Linked DNA regions of Drosophila melanogaster. The gene in region 2 interacts genetically with the main gene of each other region. Each region holds a gene or a part of one and is shown on either strand. Other genes may lie near its edges.

Evidence for each region.
Region 1: of S (region 2) and bun, changing one enhances a phenotype caused by changing the other (phenotypic enhancement), as found in Drosophila melanogaster (one study listed by BioGRID).

The regions. Positions count from the first base shown.
Region 1 is NT_033779.5:12,542,102-12,548,161, reverse strand, and holds the start of bun (bunched), read left to right. Parts: upstream 1-1,550; 5' UTR 1,551-1,752; exon of another isoform or gene 1,753-2,519; intron 2,520-3,818; exon of another isoform or gene 3,819-4,222; intron 4,223-4,563; exon of another isoform or gene 4,564-4,986; intron 4,987-6,060. UniProt on the Drosophila melanogaster protein: Probable transcription factor required for peripheral nervous system morphogenesis, eye development and oogenesis.
Region 2 is NT_033779.5:1,073,416-1,081,306, reverse strand, and holds the start of S (star), read left to right. Parts: upstream 1-3,491; 5' UTR 3,492-4,472; intron 4,473-7,891. Other genes in the region: Atg4a (Autophagy-related 4a), read right to left, coding at 1-63; ast (asteroid), read right to left, coding at 597-2,186, 2,242-2,682, 2,739-3,272.

The DNA of each region.
Region 1 (6,060 bases), about 11 Mb from region 2:
CAAATCGTCAAACCTTTGAATGCCACAAGCGAAAAAAGGGGCAGTTTTTGGGGGGCGAAAAATGTTTGCCAAATGTTTTTCCTGCCTGCTGCAATTTAAATGAGACGTTGGCCAAATGCGAGGGTGTCGCCTGCAGTCGCTGTGTGAAAGTGGGCGGGGCGGGGCGGGGCTGGTCAGTGGAATTAATTCTAATCCCGAACACGTTCCGTTGCGAACGAAGTGGTCAGTTGCGATATACTATATAAATATATATATAATTGTATATACATGCATATGTACATATATAGAACTCCTTAGTGGAGTTTCAATTGGTGGAGGGTGCGTCGATCATTAGCGTGATTTCTTTCCGCTTTGACAAGAAAATCAGAACGCTTCACTGAACTCCATCAGGACGAAAAAAAAAAGAAAAAAGGAATGTCTTAGTCGAATGGTGTGACTATTAGATACCCGTTAGCCAGCTTAAGAAAGTTGGTAAGAGTTGAATATATTTAAAGTCTTAACTGATTAAAGTTAGCAAGCAGAGTATCAGCAAGGTACTTAATTAAAAGAAGAACCAAAGAGTTAAATAAATGCAAGAAGGTAACAAGCAGCAGTGCGACTATCAGATACCTGTTACTCCACAAAACTTTCTTGAGAAGTCTTAGCGCTAGAACAGGAAATGCTCAAAAGCAGTTACATAATTACTGGCAATAATTTATGTTTATTTTTAAGCTTTAATAAACATCAATAGAAAAATTTAATAGAAAAAATAGAAAACTGAGCGCCAGTTCTATGTATCTATTTTGTTTATAAAAACAAGTAAAGTATACAAATTTAAGCATTGTTAAGGTATTAATTTTCTTAATGATTCAAATTATTTGTTACATATATTTTTATAAAGATTTACCAATCGAATTTTAGTCGTTTGAATTCGCTTAGATTCGTTGAAATTCGCTTCTAAATCAAAGCAAAGAAGCGAACCAATGTAAAATATATGTAAATGTAAAATTGTTGGTTCGGTACTTCGACGCGGGATCTGTTTAACGATTTTTTCAGTGATTTCGACACAAAAAGAGTAACTACTGCAGTTATTTTGCTAATAAAAAATTTAACTATATTATATGATAATTATAGATGATATGATATTAAATATAAATATAATTAAAATTTATAATAGTCCGATTTTTGACCAGAACTTATTATCGACATTATATAAGCCCATTATATACAAAAATGATTCCTAAAACAATCAAATAAAAGTAGAGTTGTGCCACTCGCCTTAGTATAACTTAGTTCTAAAGTATATGTTAATTTTATGTTAAATTCATTTTCGAATAATGGAAAAACGAGCGCCAATGTTGCGCTAGGGATTTCTAAACGATATGTAAACGATATCGTATATCGCACGACAATCGCCTGCGTGTAGAACTTAACAATCGATAGTTGTATTTAGCACAGAACCAAACCAAAAAATGCTAAAATATCAGTTTTGAACAGTATAGTGTGACCGCTATATGTGCCAAAAATCCCGTATTCAGTATTTGGTATTATTATTTGATATTATATTTTTATTGGCATTTTGAGTTGGGACAAAAACGCAAGGCAAGTTGTTGGTCTTTTTCGCTGTCTGCAGACGGATAAAAAGTAAAAGAACGCAAATCGAACGCGCCGCGAACGTATTGCAAAATCGCTTAACTCGCGGCGCCCTTGAAAACGACGAGGAAAAGCGAAAAAAGGCTGCGAGAGCTAGCGCAAAATCGAAGAAAAAACTGTGTATGTGCGTGCGTGTGAGTGTATGAGTGTGACGTGTGCGTCGCTGTGTGTGTGAGCGAGCTGGCATGCAGATGTAGAGATGTGTGTGCGCTGCTGCTGCGGCTGTGTGTGCGTGTAAATTGAATAAGAAAACGGAGCACAAATGGCACTGATGGAAAATTTATATGTGCGCTGAAAAATTAATTTATTTGCAAAAAGCCAAAGAGCTGCGAAAAGTAAAGTGACAAGCGGAGAGATGTGCAAAATCGAAAGAACGAAAAATTGTGGATTGCCGACTCTCTGCAGATTTGAAGAGAGTGGCAGCGAAAGAGAGACATAGAGAGAGAGTTTGTGTATGTGTGGGTGTGAGCCGCCTTTGCCAGGAAAACTAAAAAGAAAAAAATTCCCTGGCGTTAAAATTTGCACAAAAAATGTTGAATTCGATTGTTTGCTTTCCGCAGTTCGGCGTTTCGCTTTTTTTTTTTGCACAAAACTTTTTTCGCCAATTTTTCATGCACGCTTTTTCGTTTATTTAATTCCTCTCTCTCTCTCTCCATCTCTCTCTCACTCATTTTTTCGCTCTCCGAATCGACTCTCTCGCAGTGCTCTCCGCTTTTTGCTTGTGCACAGCCAAGTGTCAAAACTGTCATTTACCTTCCTTTTGTCCGATTAGCAAAACGCAACGAAAAACTAATATCCCATCCAAATTAAATTCGTGGCCGTTCGCTTGTTTTAAGTTTATTGTTTTACGCCAAGAAACAAGTAATTTTAAATTGTTTGACATACGCGTAAGTGTGGTAAAAATGTAAAAGAGAGGCCTTTGCCTCTTAGTGCAACAAATCGATCAGAAAGTAACCAATAAAAAAGCAAAGCAAATCGAAACATGTTTCAAAACGAAGGAAAAATCAGAGAAATTCAATGAAACAAAAGTGCAAAACAGTCGCGTAATTGTTGGTGTGTGTGTGTGTGTGTGTGTCAGCGTGTGTGCCCATCCTTTTGGTCTGCTTCTTCACTTTCGCTCAGTTGTTGTTGCAGCTTGCACTTTGTACCTTAGATTTTTCCCATTTCCTCTTTCCATTCCCATTTCTCCAAAACAGCTGGCCAAGCATTTGATTAACTCCAATATTCCTTCGTTTTCTACTGTATTTTATGTGCCATTTACCTTTGTTTATAATGTCAGCTGGCCCGGCATTGTTGTTTATTTTCTGTTCTGCTTCGCCTTGATTGTTTAGTCAAGTGTTAGTTTTGTTTTTGTGCCATTTTGCAATTTTCTGCTTATTTGCCATCCGATATTATGGGGTAATTTTTTTTTCATATGTGATTTTTAGTAGAAATTCATATAAAAAATTGTGTGTTCTGTTTGGTTAACGGTAACTCGAATTACACACAAGTGTTTAGAATTATGGATACGTATTTAATAACAGCGGTGTGCAATAATAGTAGATTTGCAAAAACCAACCAGCATTTCTGAGAATATTAATTTCTAGTTTATGAACTAAAATATGAAATTCACTCTGTATGAGTACCCTTTTTATACAAACTTGAAATGAATAAATCTGATTAGCTTTGAATGCCCTTGAACCAATCTACAATATCTTCACGATCATAATGATCATCCCTTTTAACGCATCTCCGATTTCAAAGCAAAACAAAATAAACCTCAGGCCAGATCGGTTTTCTTGTCAAGCCGCGTGGCAAATTTTTCTGCTTACCATGCACCATTTTGTAACTATAACTGGACGATATATTTGCGTTTAGGAATCGGATACACTTCAGATTTCTGCCAACTCTTTGATACAACCGATGGCACAAACTCAGAAAGGTTTGGATTGTTTTGCGAGTTACTTTCATAGGTATCGGTATCAAGAAGTTGCAAGAAATAAGCTGGGGTTTCTTGAACAGGGATCTATCTGCATAAAAGAAATGCGTGTGCAGACAGTCACGTCGACCAAACCAGAATTCAATCAGTTCATTTTTTTTTGTAATGTAGGAATTTCGGGGTTGATTGCTAGCGGAAAAGTACCAATCTTTCAACAACTGGTTAACTTTTTGAATGAAACCATCATAAAAAAATAACTAATTATTTTATCTAGGGTATTGTCACTTTCGGTACATTTAACACCTATTTGCACCAATTTTCTTTGATGTCTTGTTGCTTTATTTACATTCTGCGACTCAATTCAATTGAGAAATTATATTCGATTTCAATTGTATCTGAGTATCTCATGGATGCATTGTCATTGTAATCTCTAGCTTGTTGTTGTTCCTTTTGCAGCCGCCTCCTCCTCATCTTCGTCGCTGCTCTTTTCTCGTTTGATAAACATTTTCATTGCCTTCTCTCTGCATACATCGCTCTCTCTCGCTCTTTCGGGTTCTTTTACTTCCTCCTACAACGCCTTCGTTTTTCTTTTCCTTTTCCCTTGCCATTTTTTTTGCATTGTGAATCATTTCCTTGCGGAAAGGAAAAGAGCGAAGAAAAGGTGGGAAGTGCCTGTGGGTGAAAGACAGGAAAGGAAAGTCACTGATTGAAAAGTTATTAACTCGGTTGAATTTTCATTATGCATTATTTAACACCCTGGTGTCCTTAAAGTTCAGTTTTATATCTGTCAGCAAGGTATAAATTTTTAGAGGATTTTTTAGAGGATAACCCATTTATTTTTTGTTTCTATTTTTTGCTCCTAAAGGCCTTTTTTGTTATATCCCATTTTCGTTTTTGTTTTTACCGATAGTCTTAAAGTTTAGTAGGGCTTGATAAGGTTTTGATGGTTTAGCTGAGAAAGCAGCAGTGCATTTTATTACCGTATTTTGTATTGGCAATATATCCTGGCTTACCTTTGATGCACTGCGAACAATCGGGACACCTTTCCTTTTGCTTTTCATCTTCTTCGGCTGCTGCTATCATCATCAATATTGATTACCGGCAGCTGTCCGAGAGCGGGAGAGTGCGAGCGAGCAGCCGCTCTCCTTTTGCGGTTTGTTTGGTATGCGGCCCCCACCCCGTCCCGCCCACTTGTAGGCGCCCACGTTGGTAGGAAGGAGCATGTGGATGTAGATGCGGTTGCGGAGGGGCCAACAGGCTGCTCTCGCTCTCTTGCAGCTCCCGCTCTCCGATTGCAATTTTCTCAACGCGCATTCGCTCGCTCACACTCACTCTCTCTCGCTCGCGCTTGCCTCTTTCTGTACTATCTGTTGTAGTTGCTTTTCATTACATTTGTTGTTGTTGGCTTGCCATCGATTTTATGCTTTGTCGTTGCAATTAGTTCTTCTTCTGTTGCTTGCTTCTTGTCTGCACTTTTAGTTCTCATTTTCTTTTCACCCCATCTCCTTGTTGTTGCTTTTGCTATTGAGGAAGGCAGTGAGCAGAGGCAGAAGTCCTCCTCCTCCTCCTTTCCATTCGCCGATTTGTTTGTGTGCGAAATCTGGTGCCTACAGCGATACTTTGATTATTGACTGCCGGGGGGTTAAAAGGGGTCCCAAGTTTATTGTCCAGAAGATGAGTTACAAGAATGGATACTCCACTTCCAGTGGTTCTTGATGAATTGGGTATTCTGGTTCGGTTTGGGTGTGCGCTTTTTCAATGGATTAAATTCTCTAATTGAGCCAATTTCGTCTAGATTAATTATCCATTCTAAAGAGCTATTGGTTTTCATTCATAACAACTGATGCCCAATTACCACAACTTTACTCCCTCAAATTATATTCGAAATCAACTTAAGTTGAAGAAGAAGCTTTGGGCCAACACCTGCGTGGCTCAAGAACAAGGCCAATAGACTCTTAAACCCCCAACAAACAGCAGGCCAAAAAACTAAAAAAAAAAAACAAAAACAAAAATACCCACCTTGAGAGAGTGCTACGACCAATGTTGACCTATAACTGATTTTTTGTTATTCAGTTGTTCTTCTGGTTTGCTGGTTTTGTTGGTTGTCTCTTTTTTTCGACTCTCCTAGCCACAGAATAATCAGATTTTTTTGCGTCGTTTATAACTCGATTAGGCAAAAGAAATAAAACAAAATTAAGCGAGAGAGAAAGAATAAAAGAGCAGCGTCAAGGTCTTGACTTTGCCTTCTGGCAGGGCAAACGCAGAGTTCAAACGCCACTACAGTAATCACTCAAAAGTCTATATATGAATTATTATATAAGTTTAGTATTCAGGTCAACAAAATGTCCCTCTAAACAAAACCGTTGTATGAAAGATATTGTTTTGTATATTTAGATATTGCTTTAATGACTCAATATTGAATATTCAATTTGATCTTCTTATTTTTGCTTAAGACCAAAAAAAAATTAATTCAAATTTTCTAAAATTTAAAAAACGATGGTTAATTATGA
Region 2 (7,891 bases):
CAAGTACGCCTCGAAGACGCTCTCCATGATCCGCGCTAGCTGGTCGCTGAGTCCAACCAGCATCTACTGCCCGGTGCGCTGGCAGAAGGAGAAGGGGGTGGACACCAGGGCCTCCGCTGCTCGTCTATACGATAATTGCCTTCGAATGACGTTCTGTTTTTCGGGTGGGCCTTTGTTTTGGCCTGTGTTTTCGCTGGCAGCAACGGCAATGCTCCTGCTTCTGGCCCGAGGTCACAGGGGTTTCATTTGTTGTTGGCAGTGACGGGCGCTGATTACAAACTATGCGATAACCAGCATTTGATCAGTCTGCGGCTGGTTTAGTTTGATTTATTTTTCTTTTTTGTTGATTACAACGCAGTGACGTAGCTGTTAGTATGACCGCAACTGATAAGGTATTTTACTTTGCCAAAATACCGAACCTTGCACTTAACATGACCATAACATAGGAAATAACAGTATTTTTCCAAACTGTTAATGAAATGCATTCAAAAATGAAGTTTTTTAAAAAATATTTAATTTTTTTCTTATTTTACGCAAAGTATAGATTTGTAACAATGTAAAAACTTCAAAATTGCACGTGCGGGACTTCAAACTAGCTACGCTACCTTGAGTGCGCAGAATTTGTTGTTCAGATCGAAGAAGTCGTTTTCTGGATCGGCATCCTCGACCATTTCCGCATTGGGATCCGCGATGGCCTCCCTTAGCTCCACTTTCCTAGCCGCCTGACGCTGCTTCTTCAATCGCTTCTTCTGCAGGGCCTTTGCCGCCGTCGGATCCACCTCCAATCGCTTCCAAGTTGGTATAAACTCCGCGCACCAGTCGTACAAGTAGCAATAGAAATCGAACATCAACTTGGAGTCGGGCAGCAGGAAGTTCTCAACATGGTAGCGGACATCGGCACGATTCCTCAGTACATCATACATGTTGTAGAGAAAGGCGCCGCAATAAAGCTGGTTCATCCTCGGACTCAAAAGTGGAAAATCCAAAAGAGAATTTAGCCCATTGAGTTGGTAAACCACAGCCTGAAATTCAGCAAATGCGTGGATAACCGTGGTGGAGTACAAGTCAAACTTCTTTTTGAAGATCTCCTGCATATGGAAGTGCGGCAGTAGGCGTTCCTGAGTTAAATAGCAGTCCGATTTGGGTACATGAGCCATCCGATCTGGAACAGAAAGCTCTAGCAGAGCAGGTTTGATGCCGCGCTTAATTCCCTCGGCAGCTTCCTTATCCCTCACTGCTCGCTCTGCTTTCAATGTCTTGCCAAATCTTTTAAGGAAGGTTTTCACCTCTCGTTCAGCAGGGATTGTAACATCTATGGTTCGTAGGACAACCAAACTAAGGATCAGCGAGTGAAGATGCAGCAAATCACAGTGCTCCGAGCGATGTAACCAGTAGATAATGGCCAGAAAGTACAGCCTCAGGTCCTCCGGCAACTGGTCGAGCTTGCTGAACAACTTCTCCGTATCCGCATTGGGAGCATTGTCTTCGAATACAGCTCTTAAATGCCTAGCATCCGGCGAAAGAGGATCAAACGGATAGGCAGGCTTCTTTTCAATGGGCATCTTGAAATACCTCACGTTCGTCACTCGCAGAGCTCTGGTGAGGTAGGTGAGATAGGGGACTGTCGAACCCTCTATATCCATATCCACTTCTAATGGTAGCTCAATTTTCTCACACTCTACGTGATGGAGAAGAGCGAACACGTAGTTCAGGATGGGTAAGGCCACTTCATTGGAGTCGTGGAAGGGAAAGTGCTCGATCTGTGGGTTGTTGATGTACTTGCGCAGGTGCATAAGGTCCACGAAGCTGCGGGGCAGGTGCGCGGGATATAGTTTGTCCAGAAACCATTGTGGGAAGAGTAGCGTTTTGTCTTCCACTTCCAGCTCGAGGCCTTCATCCGCCTCCTCTTCTTCTTCATCACCCGAATCAACGTCTTGATTTTCTTCCTGCTGCTCCTCATCTTGGTTATCAGCTTCCTCCTGATCCTCGCCTTCTTCGACATCTGAAAATTTTTCATCGGAGCTAGACGAATGTTCATCGTCGCTGCATTCCTCTTCACTGACGGGTTCTATATAAGGAAAAGCATTCTCGTAGTGCTCATCGAAGTAATCGTAGGCGTGGCACAACTCGTTGGAGTAACCAGAGATGGCTGCATTCACTTGGGAGACCAGGGAATCACGCTGGTTCTGCAAGAATATTATTTTTAGCATAAATCGGAAAAAGATATCTCAAGCAACGAACCTTTTTCAGTCTCGACAGCACTTTAGCCAGAGCAGATTCCGCCGTTTCCTCCTTCAGCCATGTGAGGATGACCTGTATGCGCTTCTGCTGGAGCTTTAGTTTGCGACTTCGTCCTGCTTTGCCCATTCCCGCAGCAAAAAAGTTCTTGAAGGCACTGCGGGCAATATAGTCATTGCCCAGGAGGGCGGCAAAAAGGGGTAGCTTCTCGGGACTCAGAGTTCCTCGTCCGCAGAGATGGGACACCCGGTAGATGCAGCAGTCGAGGTACTTGTAGGTCTTGGAACTGCCTTTTGTACTGGCTGTCAGCCCTGTGGTTTGAATGCCAGTCACAATCTTGTTGGCCCTGGTGCGCTTCTTCACATTCTTGGCCTCGCAGTGACGTAGATCTCGACTGTCCTTCTGGTTGCTGCTGTTCTTGTCCTTCACCTGCTTGGTGAGAACCTGGGGTACATGGAATCGCTTAGTATATGCTGGAATCCAAATAACTTATGCCTTACCTTAACAGTCAGCGTGATCAGCGGGATGTACTTGACGTTGTGGATGTAGAAATCCGAGTCGTAGGAGAGCACTGGGCAGTTAAGTTTCCTGGCCAGAGCAGCCAACTCGTCGTCCGCCTCAAAGACGCACCTCATCACCGGGACTCCGCAGTCGCGCACAGCGTCCACGAAAACCTCCTTGAGGTGCAGCGGGAACAGCGTGATGGATGCATTGGGGTTTATCTTCTTGATCACGGAAATCTTGTTGCGCAGCCGGGTGCTAACGGTCCTCAGCTTGCGCTCCTCGTACCCGCCGTCCATGAGCACATAGGGCCGAATGTTGCACTCGGCCAGAACCTGGAAGAACTGCACCACGGCGCGGTAGAAGTCGTCGTAGTCGCCGCCGAAGGCGGAGTAGCTCCCGGTGACATCCTTGTACAGATTGCAGCTCAAGTTGTCGCCATCGATGACCAGCGCCGTGGAGTGCAGCTCGTGCGGCTTAAGGTAGATCTCCGCGCGCTGCGCTATGTAACTGGTCAGGCCGCGGACTCCCATTTTCCCGGCGCTTGCCTATTTTCCCAATTTTCTATTTACCTATTTTGCACAAACTTTAAAAGCGTGCTAATAGTGATGTCAGTTTGCAGTGCGATACTATCGATGTACATATCGATTCTTTAGCGTGGCCGTTCGCTGCCGTTTGGTATATATGAGCGATTAGTTTGGTATCTAGGGTATTTCCCGCAGCCGGATGGTATATTCCGGGGATGGCGCCGCGGTCACACTCTGTCCCGACAATTCCAACCCGACGCTTGTCTGCTCTCCACCCGCGCATCAAACGTCGAAAAATCGTAACGTCGCGAGTGCTACGCGGTGGCCAGGAGAAAAATTCGCCAGCAATAGCAACACTTGTACCGAAAATCTAAAGGAAACTGGGAAATGTACTAGCACAAACACAGCGAGTGCAGTGGAAACCGAAATCGCCATTGAATCGAAGAGCGCGTGCATATATACGGGTTCCGTTGGTTCCGTTCCGTTTCTTGTCGCTTTTCTTGCACACACTTTACCACTTTACCTTTGCGTCTCTCGTTTCGTGCGTGCGTGTGTGTGTGCGCGGAGTGTGGTGTGCGTGCGTGTGTGTTGTTTTTGTGTGTTCGTTTAACTAAAGCACAGGTAGAAGGAAAAGCAGCGGAAAAAAGAAAACCATGGGCGAAATATGCATATGAAATTAAGTAAATACAAGGCGACAGCAGCAGAAAACATCCAGTAGCAACGAGAAACAACAACAACAATAACACACGTTAATAACTCAGCTTTGTGCGTCTTTCGTCTGCGCTTCACATAGTATTATTTTTCTCTTGGATTTTCCACACAAAAACACCATGAGTGAGCGAGCGAGAGCGACGATCGTGATCACCGTGTCGTGAATGAATTTTTGTCAGTGTGTGCGAGGCGTGCTCTACGCACACACACACGTACGTAAACAACACAACCACACACGGCCCATCATCGATCACCAATCACCTGTGTGTGTGTGTGCGGCATTTAATAAATAATTGTGTGCAAATAAATGTTCCAAAAGGAAATTGTTAAGCCAAACCAGCAAAAAACGTAAATCAACCGTGCGATAATTCGTCCTAGAGTTGAAAAAAAAAGACGGTTCAAAAGCAAGTGCGTGTGTGCAGAGTTCTTCTGGTGTCTTGGGAGCTTCGTTTTACGGATACGAAACATATATAACTTCCCTCTTTGCCGAAAAAGGTGAGTTCAAAATCAGGGAAAAATCCCTTTCCCATTGGCCAAGGCCGTTCCGGGAAATCTGCGAGTGGTCTTGGCCCACGTTTCCTGTCTTCCGCACATTTTCACACGTCCTGCAATTGCAATTTTTTCCGATTTCCCAACTCTGCACCTCCTGTATGTTCGGCGATTCCCACGCCTCTTTTTTTCGGGGCAGGTATTCGCAGGTAGCGGAAAGAGGAAAAACCCTCGGGAAAGCCGATAAACTAGAGAAAACCTCTGTTGGTGGGCCGAAAAAACCAGAAAAAATAGAAGAATTGAAATGTTTTCCCTGGCTGCTGAAACAGAGAAAATCGGGCGAAATTAGGCACCCGCTGATTCCAGAAAATTGCTCGTATAATAGAAACATCTCACTGGGGGAGAAATAAATTATCGTTATTATCATCTGCAGTTGCAATTTGGCACAATTTCGATATGACTGTGCTCCCATTTGCCCGGCGATTATGTAATTTTCGCCGCTGTGCTCGAGAATCAGGTTCATTTTCCATATGAAAAAGGGGGCTTTGCTGCAGACATTGCATATATGCCGACGATCTGGCGACCACCGACAGTTGCCAGCAATTTCCGGCGCTTTTTGGCAACTGGAAATCGAGCACAAAAGTTCATCCCAGGGCTTAGAGAGCCGCAAAAGGCGTAGCCATCCATATTCACCCCATCCCAAACGCATTTCCCAATGTGGTTTATAGTTTTCCTACAGCTGTTGCGACTGCGATTTTAACGATTTTTACTGGTAATCCGGGGAGGAAGTGAAGTTCATAGCGGTTCGACCAGTTGATACCTCTTAATAAACTGTTTGTAGGGCATTTCTGAAAAGGAAATATTCCAAAGCGAGATTTGGTTAGTCTCAATCCTTAGAACAGCATTGCTCACTTCCTTACACAAGTGCATACTACCCTCGCATACCCTGTAATCAGTGGGCACCATAAAAAGAGTTTGAATTTCAAATAAAATCCACTCTCCGGCACACACACAAGTCCACTGGGGAGCAGCTGCTGTGTGTCTCTTTGTGCTTGGTCTCAAATGACACTTGCCAGCGCTGCTGCTGCATATAATTCCGAGTTCTGGGGAATTTCCTAGTAGGAAGTGCAGGGGCCACAGCGAAAACACCAGCAAGAGTCGCACTTGATGATTGTCTTGCCACGGCTATTGCCGTCCCACTCTGGAAACGTAAATAGAGAGGCCCGATAAAGAGCGGTCTCGAACTTCCCCCAGTTGTGTTGCCTCTAACCCAACTGAAACTGAGTGGAATCGAGGTTTTCTGGCGGCATAAAATTTGATAGCAATTAAGATATTTGTTAGAACTGTTTCTAATGTCACATGTGCTGCGTGTAGGAGTCTCATCCTGCACTATCTTGTTTTTCGCACTTGCCCCGTTCCCATTTCCCGGCTGGTACTCCAGTTACTTGCCGCAATTGACCAATTAAACAATTGTCTTTGATTAAATGTGCAAATTTGTCTAATGTTCTGCACTGCGCGTATGTGCAAAGCGGATGTGCCCGCTTAAAGCTGCGCTTAAATTGCCCGCGTAATTTGTCACTGATCTCACTTTCTCAATTGGCGATCTCTGATTTCTGAGATTCCTGATCTCTGCCTGGCCAATTAGGCGTCATTATGCGGCAGGCAAGAAGGCACCGTTAGATGGAGCCATTGCAACAGTGGCCAGAATAATAACAGCGACTAGGAAATAATGGCTAATGGCCTATACCTTTGCCCATCTAATGCTTCTTGACCTACAAGCCTCCACAGGCCTCTCGCGTTTCCTGCCCGCTTTCATTTACTGTTAATTATTGTTTAGAAAAGCGCGGGGGCGGGGGCCAATAATAATAAGAAGAAGAAAAAGCAGCAGCATTGGCCAATAAAAGCTTGCAAACAATTTCGAATTTCCAAATGGTTTGAAATGCAGCCCAGCTGGCAACAGAGGAAAAGAGGCAGCCAAATCAACCGAAAGGCAACACGGGGCCATAACAACAATCTTGCTCGCACATTCATAATAGGCGAAACAGAGGCGGCCAAAAAAGTAGGACTGTTTCGTACAAAAATATATAGTAGGATCTTAACGAAATGTAGTTTTCATAGGATCAAATGATAATGTACTGTGTTTATTCGCAACTGAAAAATACAAAATATTCTGACCAACTGTATTTTTAGATAACAGCAATATTTGTAACTACTCTATTATTCCGAGCCCTACTGTACGCATACACACACACACACACAGAATCAACAAATAAAGTAATTATTTCCTTTCACATGGCGAGCTACCTCCAAAATCGGAAAGACATAAAGAAGAATATAAAAAGCGGAGAAGCCCCAAGACCCAAAAATAAAATCCAACAAAATCCGCTGTCGGCGTCGATTCCTTTGTTGTTGTTTTGCTGCAGCGGTCCCAACACGTGCAATTGGGAGCGAGCGAGAGGGGGAGAGTAGGAGCGAAAAGAAACTAATAGGCCAGTAGTACGAATCGCAGAGGAGTGAGCAGTGCAGTGGCAATTTTGCATCGATCTCCCACTCAATGGGCAAAAAACGGAGCTCGAAGTTGTGAGTGACATGTGTGAGTGAGGCTCGAAGTGAATGAATGGCACAATCTGTGATTGATTCATGCACAACTAGATGACTAAATTCGCTTTCGGCCCATTCTTTCATATCCGTTAGCTGGCCACTCCTTTTGTCCAAGTTTGGTCAACCAAGTTGGCTCGCTCTTTTGCCATTTAATTGATTCATCCACACCAGCAGATATCTGAAATCTGAATCGATCCCAAAATGACACCCAATTTCACTGTTCTGTGAATGAATACGGTTTTTTTTATCACGTGTATGTGGGTGCGAGTGCGCCATCGTCTTACGTTGTAATTTCGCGACTCTATGTCCGTCCTTGTCTGTTGCTAATAAATCAAGACCCATGTTCATTTTGCAACGGCTTTGGATACCCTACAGTGGGTTGCTTCGTTTTGTCAGACTCAACAATAATTGCAAATGGTTTTCTGTGGTTATTTACAATTATGGCTATAAACCTCATTAAAAGTCTTGAAAGCTGCTTAAATTGATAATTACAGTTCCAAAGAAGTAATCACTCATATTCATTGTATCATCATTTGGAAACATCAGTCATTGCAAACACATCAGTCATATCAGTGTCGAGGGTAATCCGCATTCGATGCAACGCTTTTGCCTCTTGTGTTCGCTAGTTTTTGCCATTTATGCAGCTACCGTGGGGCGCTTACGTCATTGGCCGGCTTGGTACATATTTGGCCATGTTTTACTGTTGTCAATTGGATGCTATTTGTGGGCTAAATTTCTCGCTGGCGTCAACACAAAATATTGAAAGTAGGCAGCTCGGATTGAGTTGAGTCATTATCTTTTCTTTTCTCGAGTTGTGAAATTTG